Macaca mulatta: one gene and its partners. The protein of the gene in region 3 interacts with the protein of the main gene of each other region in a biochemical or structural test. Links are inferred from orthologs where the notes say so. Each region holds a gene or a part of one and is shown on either strand. Other genes may lie near its edges.

Region 1 (4,356 bases), on a different chromosome or scaffold from region 3:
AGCACAGGTGCAGGGCACTGATGGCAACAGGAGCGGCTGCACCAGCAGCTGGGACGAGGCTCTGGAGGATGCTCAGCTGGATGAAGACAGGCACCAAGGCGAAAGTGGAAGACCTACACGTGTGAGACAAGAGTGGGTGGGGTCGTGGGGTCAGGAAAGCCTCATCCACCGGCCAAAATCATGGGGAAGCCAAGCCACACCCCCAGGCACGTCCACGGGGCTCCTCCCTCCCCCTTCCAACCACAGTTTATAACTAAGCCTCAGCCTCTCCGAATTCTAAATTTGCCCTTTCTTTACCCAAATCTGAGCCCCACCCACTCCCAAGGGAATTTCTTTAGGTCCTAAGGTAGGACCGATGCCCCACCCTTTCCCCCAATACAGAAACCTAAGGGTCTCCCAGGGGAATTACCTTAGGCCCCTCCCATCCACCTCAGAATATTCCGCTTCATGGAAAAACTCAATTCCAGGGACATTTTCTTCCAGCCACGCCCCTTGCCCTAAAATATTTCCTTTTGGCCCCACTGCCTTCCTAGCTTCCATCCCAAACCAGTGCCCAGGGGAACTGCCCCAGGCCCCAGCCCTTCAGCAATGTTATCCACTCAAATCCCACTCCTCGCTTTGCCACTGTCCCTCCAAGCCCCGCCCCTCATTGTTTATTTAGCTCCGCCCCTCTCCGATTCCCCAGAGGCCCCGCCTCTTTGTCCCATCGAAGCCCCACCCCTCAGCTAAAGGTTGGCTTAGCCCCGCCCCTTCTCACAATGGGCTCACGAAATCCCACCCATCGTGACGACAGTGGTTCTAGCCCCACCCACTTAGAGGGCTGCCTCTAAGCCCCGCCTTCTCCCCTGTCAATCTAAGCCAGTCCCCGCCTCAGCAGGTGCCTGGTTTAAAAGGAAGGAAGTTGGGCTGTGAGCCAGAGCAACGTGGAGCAGGGAGGGTGGAGGAGGGTAGAGGGGGCAGGCAGAGAACTGCTACCCGAACGCCAGCCGTCCACACGCGGCTATGCGCCAAGGGCCAAAGCGCATGCTACGTCTTCCGAGCTGTCCAATTGCTTTACACCTCCGCCTTCTTGGGGATCAGTGCGCATGCGCGGACACTCAGGGCCCGCGCTCATTCATTACGGGGCACTGGTAGGCTACTGCGCAGGAACAACCAAGCACGCACAGAATCGTTTAGAAAAAGACCACACCCTCCCTTGGAGTGCGCAGGCGCAGCCACACGCCGGCTGACAAACATCGAGTCTCTAGAACTCTCCCACCCGGCTCCGGGCCCAGTGCGCATGCGCAGCCGCGCGCCTTCGGCCCACCGTACCTCTTCTGCGCCTGCGCGACCGTGATTCCCCGCTCGCAGCTCCCCTCCCCCCAGGGCTCCCTAAAGAGGGCCACGAGCTGCGAAAGGGCGGGAAAGGCGGTTGGAGAGGGACAAGTAAGCGGTTACTCACTCCATGGCTGCAGAAAGGAGAGGCGGCGGCGGCCTCGGCTGAAGAAAGAAGGTGGGAGCGGAGAGCGCAGGCGTGGTAAGCGCGGAGTCGGGCTGGGGGCACAAAGGGGTCGAGGCTACAGAGCCATGGCTGGGGCTACGCAGGCGGAGGCGGAGAACGCTGTAGTTAGAAGAGACCGTGATCTGAGGACGGGGAATGAGGCGGCCCCGGGGACTGGGGACAGAAATACTTCGGGTGGCGCAGCATGGCCCGCCCGGATCCTTCCGCGCCCCGCCCTCGCGGGGCCCCAACTGGGTGGCAGCCCGGTCCCCTCCTCCTGGGGATCAGGGGATCCGACCTCTTCCTTCCCACTCCTAGGGTCCAGGCCCCTCCTCCCTTTTGAGCCAGGGATCCGGCCCTCTCGTAGCTCCGGGGTCTGGTTTCCTCCTAAACTCTGGTTTCTTTCTTTTTCTGCCTGTGAGGTCTGGGCCTGCTTCCTCCTGTGATTTTGTGGATCCAGTCTCATTCTCTTCCCGGAGACCTGCACCATTTAATTTCTGTTTCCCTTTCCCTGCTTGCAGAATTTCCTGCCAGCCACACTTTTCATGTTTTCATCCCCCAACTGCTGACCCCGAGAAACCCTCGTGGGTTAGAGTCCAGCGTGAGTCACAGCACTCTCCCAAACACAGACCTACCAGGATGGCCTCGGGCAAATAGCTTAAGTTCTCTTGCTTCATTTCCCTATCCGTAAAATAAGAAAAATCAGCTCTCCTGGTGGGTTTATGAAACTCAAGACGGTGTCTGGCAAGCCTTATGCACAGAGTTCAACTCATACGTTCCTGTTCAATTTTTTTTTTTTTTTTTTTTTTGGTGAGATGACGTCTCTCGGTCTCTGTCGCCCAGGCTGGAGTGCAGTGGCGCGATCTCGGCTCACTGCAAACTCCGCCGAGTTCACGCCATTCTCCTGCCTCAGCCTCCAGAGTAGCTAGGATTACAGGCGCCCGCCACCACGCCCGGCTAATTTTTTGTATTTTTAGTAGAGACGAGGTTTCACCTTGTTAGCCAGGATGGTCTCGATCTCCTGACTTCATGATCGGCCCGCCTCGGCCTCCCAAAGTGCTGGGCTTACAGGCGTGAGCCACCGCGCCCGGCCTCAACATATTTTATTGGGGCCCAGCCTCACTTCTTCTTTCCCCCTTACAAGAGCCGCAGACGTTGGACTGTCTAACTCTTGCTGTCGTTCTTCTGTCTCCCTCATTCCTCTGAAGTGTCTGTTTCCGGCCATCCTCATCTTCCGTTCCAAATGATGGGTGCCCAGGCCCCATCCCCTGGCAGGGATTCAGACATCGAGGCCCCAGCTGCGTCCTTTTCTCCATCCCTTGCCCTTGGCTTCCTTTCAAACAGTCCTTAGCTTCCACGGGATAGGAACTATCTCCCAACCCTGCCAAAAATGGAAGATCTCCGTTTCCCTTTAGTCAGAGGGTAGCCATCTTGCCCCTTCTCATGCACAGGGCCCTCCACCAGCCGAGGTGGATGTCAGTCTTTTCTCTCTTGCAGAAACCCACTTTGTCCCATCCACGTCAGGACATCCCAGCTGGAGTTCAGCCTTCATCCCTTCTGTGGCAGTTAGGAGACTGAATCAAGGTCCAGAGAAGGTGGAGGAATCCTGGTATTGAGCGTTTTACACAAGCTTCTTTCTCCTCCCTTACTTGTCGCGGGCAGGAAGCCCTTCTTGGGATCTGACCACCTTCCCTTAGAGCACTTATTGTCCACTTTGCCAGCTTTTGAGCACCTGCCCTATATTTCCTTGAGCTTGTAGGGGTTGTGTTATCACTGAGACAGTATACAGAGTAGCAGCTAAGAGCATAAACTGAGCTTGTCCCATCCGTGGGCCTGCATGTGGCCCAGAATAGCTTTGAATGCAGCCTAATACAAATTCGTAAACTTTCCTAAACCATACGAATTTTTTGCGAGTGTTTTTTTTTTTTCCTTTTGAGCTCATCAACTATCATTAGTGTTATTTTATGTGTGGCCTAAGACAATTCTTGCGATGTAGCCCCAGGAAGCCAAATTTTATACATCCTTGGCATAGACTCTGGAGCCAGATTTATGAGTTCAAAACCTGACTGCACCCCTCTTATTAGCTGTGTGACCGTAGCCATTTCCCTTCCCGGTGCCTCGGTTTCCCCTGTGGTACAAGGTGGTGTTAAGAGTACCTGCCTCTGGGCCAGGCACGGTGGCTTACGCCTGTAATCCCACCACCCTGGGAGGCTGAAGTGGGCAGATTGCTTGAGCTCAGGAATTCGAGACCAGCCTGGGCAACATGGTGAAACCCCGTCTCTACAGAAAATACAAAAAAATAGCTGGGTGTGGTGGTTTGTGCCTGTGGTCCCAGCTACTTGTGAGGCTAAGGCAGGAGGATCACTTGAACCCTGGGGTGGGGCAGAGGTTGCAGTAAGCGGAGATTGTGCCACCACACTCCAGCCTGGGTGACAGAGTGAGACCCTGTCTCAAAAAAAAAAAAAAAACAAAAAAAACAAAACTGCCTGCCTCATAGGGCTGATTAAATGAGTTAATCCGCGTCGAGCAGTTAGACTAGTGCCTGGGACACAGTAGGTGCTGCATAAAAGTGGTTACTGTTACTGCTATAATTAAGGTGGATGTGTTCTCATTCCATTGCTGTGCAGTAAGTCCAACTTCCTTCCACTTCTCAGTATAGGTTTTTGAGCAAAAGCAGATGGAATTAAGGGTAGACTGTTGGACAGACTGCCAGTGGTAAGGACGCAGAGACGTGCCCTACCCCAGCCCCCCACCGGCAGAATCTTCTCCTAAGAAGACCTTCTAGCTTGTACTTGGGAACTGGGTTTGGTTTGGTTTGGTTTTGAGACAGAGTCCTGCTCTGTCGCTCAGGCTGGAGTACAGTATGATCTCGGCTC
Region 2 (4,362 bases), about 61 Mb from region 3:
ACCTGTCCTTTAAGAATAAGTAGGGGTTCGGCTGGGAGCAGTGGCTCACGCCTGTAAGGCCAGCACTGTGGGAGGCCGAGGCGGGCGGATCACTTGAGTTCTGGAGTCCGAGACCAGCCTGGCCAACCTGGCCAAACCCATCTCTACTAAAAATGCAAAGATTAGCCGCGCGCCACGGGGAGTGCCTGTTATCCCAGCTACTCGGGAGGGTAAGGCAGGAGAATCTCTTGTACCTGGGAGGCGGAGATTGCAGTGAGCCGAGATAGCGCCACTGCACTCCAGCCTGGAAGACAGAGGGGGCAGGGCAAGACTCCATCTTAAAAAAAAAAAAAAAAGTAGGAGTTCACGGGGGAGGTGGCTCACGCCTGTAATCCCAGCACTTTGGGAGGCCGAGGCGGGTGGATCACTTGAGGTCAGGAGTTCGAGACCAGCCTGACCAAAACGGTGAAACCCCCGTCTCTACTAGAAATACAAAAATTAGCTCGGCCTGGTGGCGGGCGCCTGTTATCCCAGCTACTTGGGAGGCTAAGGCAGGAGAACCGCTTGAACCCGGGAGGCGGAGGTTGCAGTGAGCCAAGATTGCGCCAACGGACTCCAGCCTAGGCGACAACGCGAGACTCCATCTTAAAATTAAAAAAAAAAAAAAAAAAGGTAAGGGTTCTCCAAGTGCAACCGGGAAAGACGTTCCAACAAACCTCATTTGTACCAGGCCTTTTGGTGGGCCAGGCCCTTAGGGCATCTCTAATGCTCCTAATGTCTATCCTAGAAATTCAAGGAGGGAAAGAATGCGCTGGGGCAAGCATGGGTCAGGAGAGAATAGGGTCAGCATCTAGGGCCCTGAAGCAGCCTCGGGCAAACTCTTTGGACAGACAGACCTCCCAAGAGGGCCCTCAGGCTCCGCACGTGGTCTGGGCAGGAAGTGCGGGCAGACAGACTAGGAAGCCTTCCCAGCAGCGCCCGCGGATCGGGGCAAGGAAGGGGTCGAATAGTTACCATACCATTCTGGGGCCGTCCCTCTGATTGGCCCGAGCTCCCTCAGCCCAAGTCGCTGCACTCCAAGAAGGGGGCGGAGTCTCTGTGTTGCGTCACCACTCTTCCCGACACCCCGCCGGTGCTTCCCAATCTAGCCATTCACAAGCCCACATCGAGAGGCCCTGTGTGACGTCACGACACGCTCCCGCCAACCGCGGCGGCGAGGGGCGGGACTCCACGGCCCTCTCACCGCCCCACCCCTGTGCCTCCCCGAACTCCTTGTGCCCCTCCTCTTCCCTCTCGCCCCTTCCCCCCCCCGAAGACCGCCCCCACGTTCGGATTCAAAAGACGCGTTGCCCAATGAATAACAGGGTCGACCCAGAGTGGCGGCAGCAACCACCAATGTGCGGACGGCGAGGGCGGAGCGCCCGCAACGAGCCTCTGACGCCCGGCGGCGTGTGACGCAGTCGGGCCTTCTGCGCGCTGCGCCCGAAGCGGCGGTCGGTAGTAGTGGTGGTAGCGGCGGCGGCGACGGTTTCGTGGGGGGCCGCGCGCTGCTCTGTGAGCGGCGGGTGGCAGACGGGCCTGGGCCGGGACTCCTGACACTTCGCCTTCCCCACCGAACCGCGGTAAGTCGGGAGCCCGAGCTGCAGCGGCCGAGACCGGCAGGCTTCTACTCTCTTCCGGGCGGGCGGACGCGCGGGGCGTCCCAGGGCCTCTCCGCGCCGAAGTCTCGCGCAGCGGCGCGCACCTTCTGGCCTGAGAGAGGGGCGGGGCCCAGGACCCGGAGCCCGGGAGGTCCGGCTTTGGAGGCCCTGGGAGAAAATGAACATCAGTGGGGTCTAGGCTTGGAGGTCTCCGGTTGCTGCCCACGAGAGTCTGGTTGTACTCATTCATTCGGTGGTGTAAGGACCCCACGGTGGGCTGGCCTTTCCGGAGTCAGCGCCTTGAGACCCTGAATACTGTCTGCCCGCACTTCCTTGACCGTCGTGTGGGACTGGGCTTTATTTTGCCTTGGCTTCTCCATAAGGAAAATGGGCACCCCGAGGATTAGGGTGAGTCTGAAGTTTGTGAGATTTTTAAGATAATATCTGAGAATAGGAGTCGGTTCGGTGGAGCAAAAGGTTCTTTTATTTTCCCACGTGTTCAGTGTAAAGCCAGATGAGAAAGATTGAGTTTCTGGATTACTGTAGCCATAAGGACTTTAGAAATTGAGTCAATCCCCCTACCTTACCTCAGTTTTGTAGATAGGGGAAATCGAGGCCCGGAGTAACAGGTAGGATTAGTCAATGCCGGATCTTTGACAGTCTAAAAATTTTTCTACTACCTCACCCTCCCTGAATGTTTCAGTCTCCCATTATTAAGAATTCCCTATGGGAGGTCGGTGCGGCATGGACGTTAGGTAGTTAGACGTAGATGTAGTCTTCATAGCGTTTTCCATTTAGTTGCTACCAGCTGTGTTCACGGGTAAGGTGGAAGCTTTGTTAGTGGTACCCTAACCTGGACCTCGAGAACTAAACTTAGAAGATGGTTAAAGAATGTCATCGTTGTTATGTATTGGAAACAAATCGATAAAACTACAAGCCATTATTTCCCTTTCTAAATCTGAATTTTTTGACTTGTGTCAGCTGATGAGGATTCGGAGTCAGTTAGGGATTTATAACTACTGGAGTAGAAAGCAGGAAATTTTCATTGACAAGACTTAGAAAGCCAGGCAGGAGTCCGTTTGTAGTAGTTGTACCTTGGAACTCATGGCTCCTTTCAGGTACAGAATTCAAAGTGAAGTATTATAGTAGAATAAGGTGAGGAAATAAAACTCCGTTTTGGAGGAAGAAGCTAACTGGAATAAAGAAAGAAAAGAGCCGTGATCATTCCCTGTGACGGTCTTATAAATTCAAGAAGAAACAAAATTCAAGAAGAAACTCGAGTTAACTGGGTTACAGTATGTTTACCTGGTGAAGGAAGTTAGGGTATTTAAAAACCAAAACTAGAGGTTGGACAGGATAAAGGTACTGGGAAATACTTGGGTAAAATTATTATTTTTGACTCTTCAGATTTGATGAAATTGAATTAGTTGACACTTGGTTCTGTTCGTATCAGTAAGATTGTTACTTTGCTCTTGTTTAGATGACAAAGCATAAACTCAAAACTAGTAGTGCAGAAGAGAACCGTAGTCTAAATAGTAAAGTGTGAACAGGGTATGTTTTCCATGACATTTTCTCAGTTCAAGCATCACCCTTTACTGGGAAGCTGTTCTTGGCATTCTCTCCTCTGCAAGCTTCCATAACACTTATTTGATACTTGTATTTATAGAACATATTTTTATTTTAGCTGTTTTTTTATTAGGCTGGTAAATATTTTCATCTTATCTTTGTTGTCCAGTTGCTTGCCATGTAGTAGGCCCTCAGTAAGTGTGTTTACTTGAATGAATAGACAAATATGGAGGAGTTTTACCTAGCAGTAGTCAATAGAGAGAGGCTCCTGAAATATGGGGCCCAGATAAGATGGTTTTTGCTGTTTATGTGTTATAGGATACTTTGGTACCTGACATTTATTTGTTTGTTTATTTAATGAGATAGGGTCTCACTCTGTCACCCAGGCTGGAGTGCAGTGGTGCAGTCTCGGTTCACAGCAGCCTCAACCTCCTGGGCTCAAGCAGTCCTCCCACCTCAGCCTCCCAAGTAGCTGGGACCTCAGGTGTGCACCACCATACCCAGCTAATTTTTTTTGTATTTTTTTGGTTGAGACGGGGTTTTGCTATGTTGCCCAGGCTGGTATTGAATCCTGGGCTCAAGCCGCCCCCCACCTCAGCCTCCCAAAGTGCTGAGATTACAGGCATGAGCCACTGCGTCTAGCTGGTACCTGACTTTGTTTATGTCTACTAGGTTCTAGATAGAGCAAGCAGAATTTTTAAGGAACGAAATGTACAGCTTTGAAAAAATTAGTTATTATTTTCTTGTAATATGATTTATGTGGTGGTAGTTAACCTGGAAAGTAAAGAATGATGGTACAAATGTTTAATTTCCAATAATGAGACTATATGCAGTTATGCAATTTGTTGAAAGGTTAGGGGAATAAGAAATTCAGAGATTTGACGATAAGTATTGGCCGAGCATGGTGACTCACTCCTGTAATCCCAGCACCTTGAAGGTCGAGGCAGGTGGATTGCTTGAGCCCAGAAGTTGAAGACTAGCCTGGGCAACATGGGGAAACCCTGTCTCTGAAAAATACAAAAATTATCCAGGTGTGGTGGCTTGCACCTGTACTCGAACTACTCGGTAGGCTGAAATCAGAGAATCGCCAAGCCCGGGAGATTGAGTTGGAACTGCAGTGCTGTGATTGCAGTTCCAACCTGGGAAACCGTGTGAGGCCCTGTCTCAAAACAAAACA
Region 3 (3,060 bases):
CAGGCGCCCGCCACCTCGCCCTGCTAGTTTTTTTGTATTTTTAGTAGAGACGGGGTTTCACCATGTTAGCCAGGATGGTCTCGATTTCCTGACCTTGTGATCCGCCCGTCTTGGCCTCCCAAAGTGCTGGGATTACAGGCTTGAGCCACCGCGCCCGGCCAATTTTTGTATTTTTCATAGAGACGGGGTTTCACTGTGTTGGCCAGGCTAGTCTCCAACTCCTGACCTCATGATCCGCCTGCCTTATCCTCCCAAAGTGTTGGGATTAGAGTCATGAGCCACCGCGCCCAGCCATTTTGTTTGTATTTTTAGTAGAGACAGGGTTTTGCCATGTTGCTCAGGCTGGTCTTGAACTCCTGGGCAAAAGCTGTTCATCTGCCTCAGCCTCCCAAAGTGCTGGGATTACAGACATGAGCCTCCATGCCCGGCCACAACTCACTCTTGGGAGCTACTGGGTCCTTTTATGGCTCTAGACCACATAGTTCATACTTTCTCTTTTGATTTTCCCATAGGTACTATGCAATTTATGACTCTGGAGACCGGCAAGGGCTCCTGGATGCCTACCATGATGGGGCCTGCTGTTCCCTGAGCATTCCTTTCATTCCTCAGAACCCTGCCCGGTGAGTATCACATCCCAGAATCTCCCCGGGACCACTGGGTTTCCCAGCAGATACAAGGGAGCACCTGCTGGCAGCACTGCTCTGAACACCACGTCCAATCCTCTTATTCCCCCAGAAGCAGCTTGGCCGAGTATTTCAAGGATAGCAGAAATGTGAAGAAGCTTAAAGACCCTAGTAAGTGTGTGATATGAACAAAATACGATGGGAAAAGGGCATGGGAAGGAATCAGTCATAGAACTCAGGAGTATGTGGCAGCACCGCTGAGCTTTCTCCTCCACCCACAGCCTTGCGGTTCCGGCTGCTGAAGCACACGCGTCTCAACGTTGTTGCCTTCCTCAACGAGTTGCCCAAAACCCAGCATGACGTCAATTCCTTCGTGGTAGACATAAGCGCCCAGACAGTAAGCTCCTGTTGGTGCCCTGACAGAAGCCTAAAATTGGGGTGGGGGTGGCATTTAATAGACAAGGGGGGGCACTCAGGCTCTGAGAAGTGTACATTGTACCCGATGCTGCTTCTCTTTCAGAGTACACTGCTGTGTTTTTCTGTCAATGGAGTCTTCAAGGAAGGTAAGAATCTCTGGAGTCCTGAGTTTGTAGCATGGTCCCACCCCCAGCTGGAATTTTCCTCAGCACTCTTAGCCTCCCAGCTACTTTCTCTCCCATTTTCTTTTTGAGCTCCTTCTCCCATTCTGAACCCAAGCCGTCTTGGCTTGGCCTGCCTCTCCACCTGTCCTTTCTGGCTATGGGAAAAGCCTGGGGATTAGGAGGACTTTGGAGTCAGGCAGTTCTTAGTTTCCATCCCAGTTTTGGTTGTGTGGGGCTGCGGACAAGTAACATTACCTCTAAGACAGATTCTTTATTTGTAAGTTGGGGTTAAGTAATAGCCATCTCATAGTGGTGCTATAGGAAGTAACTGAAGTGACTTACAAAGTGCTTGGCCTGGGGCCTGGCACACAGATGCTATCAGTGGATTAGTAGTAATTACTTTTTTTTGAGACGCACGCACGCACTCTGTCACCAGGCTGGAGCGCAGTGGCGCAGTCTTGGCTCACTGCGACCTCCGCCTCCTGGGTTCAACTGGTTCTCCTGCCTCAGCCTCCCAAGTAGCTGGGCCTATAGGCGCGCACCACCACGCCCAGCTAATTTTTGTATTTTTAGTACAGACGGGGTTTCGCCATGTTGGACGGGATCCACCTGCCTTGGTCTCCCAAAGTGCTGGGATTATAACCATGAGACACCACGCCCGGCCGTAGTTATTACTATTGTCCTTTCTGACCTGACCTTTCACCCCACCTCTGCTTCCCTTATACCCTTATATACTTAATCATCCCTCTCTGACCCGCTAGGATTCTTTGTATCAAAGAAGACCATGATTCAAGAAGCTGTTTGTAAACATAAAGCACTAGTGACCCTAAGGTGTCGTTGCTGTTCTCATTGCAGTGGACGGAAAGTCCCGGGATTCTTTGCGAGCCTTCACCCGGACGTTCATTGCTGTTCCTGCTAGCAATTCAGGGTAAGTATTCTGCTTTTCACATTGGATACCAGTCCTAATCATGGCCAACAGTGTGGTAATTGGAAGGTAGAGTCAGTCTTTGGGGTGATTTCAGAAAGGCAACAGGAAATCAGGGAAAGCTCACATAGTAGTTAAGAGCAAGTTAGTTAATAGCTTGGCTCTGGAATTGTGCCGTCTGGGTTTTCATCCTGGCTCCACCACTTCCAGCAAGTAGGCTGCTGCCTCATCTGAAAATTCATTTAACAATATTCACTGCCTAAGTTTGTCGTGAGGATGAATAAAAGAGCTAAGAACTGTCCATGGGTTGGGAGAACTCTAGTGTGTTTGGTAGATAATCCTTCCAAACATTGATTCCATGGGAGGGGATAAATGATAAAAGGTAACAATAGCTAAGGGGGGAGGGAGGGACCTTGTGGATATTGAAAGAATCAGAGAATAGGAATGATGGGAGGATGACGTTATCTGTCTAGCTTTTTAAGTGCTCTTTGTCCTCAAGGCTATGCATTGTAAACGACGAGCTATTTGTGCGGAATGCCAGTTCTGAAGAGATCCAAAGAGCCTTCGCTATGCCTGCGCCCACGCCTTCCTCCAGCCCAGTGCCCACCCTCTCTCCAGAGCAGCAGGAAATGTTGCAGGCATTCTCTACCCAGTCTGGCATGAACCTCGAGTGGTCCCAGAAGTGAGTACTGGGCATGTGTAGGACGGGGTGAACTGAAGGAGGGCTAGTAGTAAATAATGAGAGCTCCTGATGGTTTTTTTGTGTGTGTTTTTAGTTTTTTTTTATAGAGACAAGTTCTTGCTCTGTCATCCAGGCTTGAGTGTAGTGGTGATCATAACTCACTGTAGCCTCTAACTGCTGAGCACAAGCTATCCTCCCACCTCAGCCTCCAGAGTAGCTGGGCCTATAGGCATGTGCCACCTTTTTTTT

The links. The genes of interacting proteins can lie anywhere in the genome.
Region 1: the proteins of NXF1 (region 3) and NUP62 form a complex in vitro, tested with the Homo sapiens proteins (3 studies listed by BioGRID and IntAct). The link is inferred for Macaca mulatta from reciprocal best matches to the Homo sapiens genes NXF1 and NUP62.
Region 2: the proteins of NXF1 (region 3) and NUP98 form a complex in vitro, tested with the Homo sapiens proteins (5 studies listed by BioGRID and IntAct). The link is inferred for Macaca mulatta from reciprocal best matches to the Homo sapiens genes NXF1 and NUP98.

What each region holds. Positions count from the first base shown.
Region 1 is NC_133424.1:62,390,369-62,394,724, reverse strand, and holds the start of NUP62 (nuclear pore glycoprotein p62), read left to right. Parts: upstream 1-1,439; 5' UTR 1,440-1,516; exon of another isoform or gene 1,517-1,638; intron 1,639-2,977; exon of another isoform or gene 2,978-3,089; intron 3,090-3,834; exon of another isoform or gene 3,835-3,979; intron 3,980-4,356. UniProt on the Homo sapiens protein: Essential component of the nuclear pore complex. The N-terminal is probably involved in nucleocytoplasmic transport.
Region 2 is NC_133419.1:72,004,762-72,009,123, forward strand, and holds the start of NUP98 (nuclear pore complex protein Nup98-Nup96), read left to right. Parts: upstream 1-1,445; 5' UTR 1,446-1,601; exon of another isoform or gene 1,602-1,651; intron 1,652-4,362. UniProt on the Homo sapiens protein: Plays a role in the nuclear pore complex (NPC) assembly and/or maintenance. NUP98 and NUP96 are involved in the bidirectional transport across the NPC. May anchor NUP153 and TPR to the NPC.
Region 3 is NC_133419.1:11,261,646-11,264,705, forward strand, and holds part of NXF1 (nuclear RNA export factor 1), read left to right. Parts: intron 1-512; coding exon 513-620; intron 621-735; coding exon 736-794; intron 795-904; coding exon 905-1,020; exon of another isoform or gene 1,021-1,034; intron 1,035-1,143; coding exon 1,144-1,186; intron 1,187-2,025; exon of another isoform or gene 2,026-2,059; coding exon 2,060-2,132; intron 2,133-2,628; coding exon 2,629-2,811; exon of another isoform or gene 2,812-2,857; intron 2,858-3,060.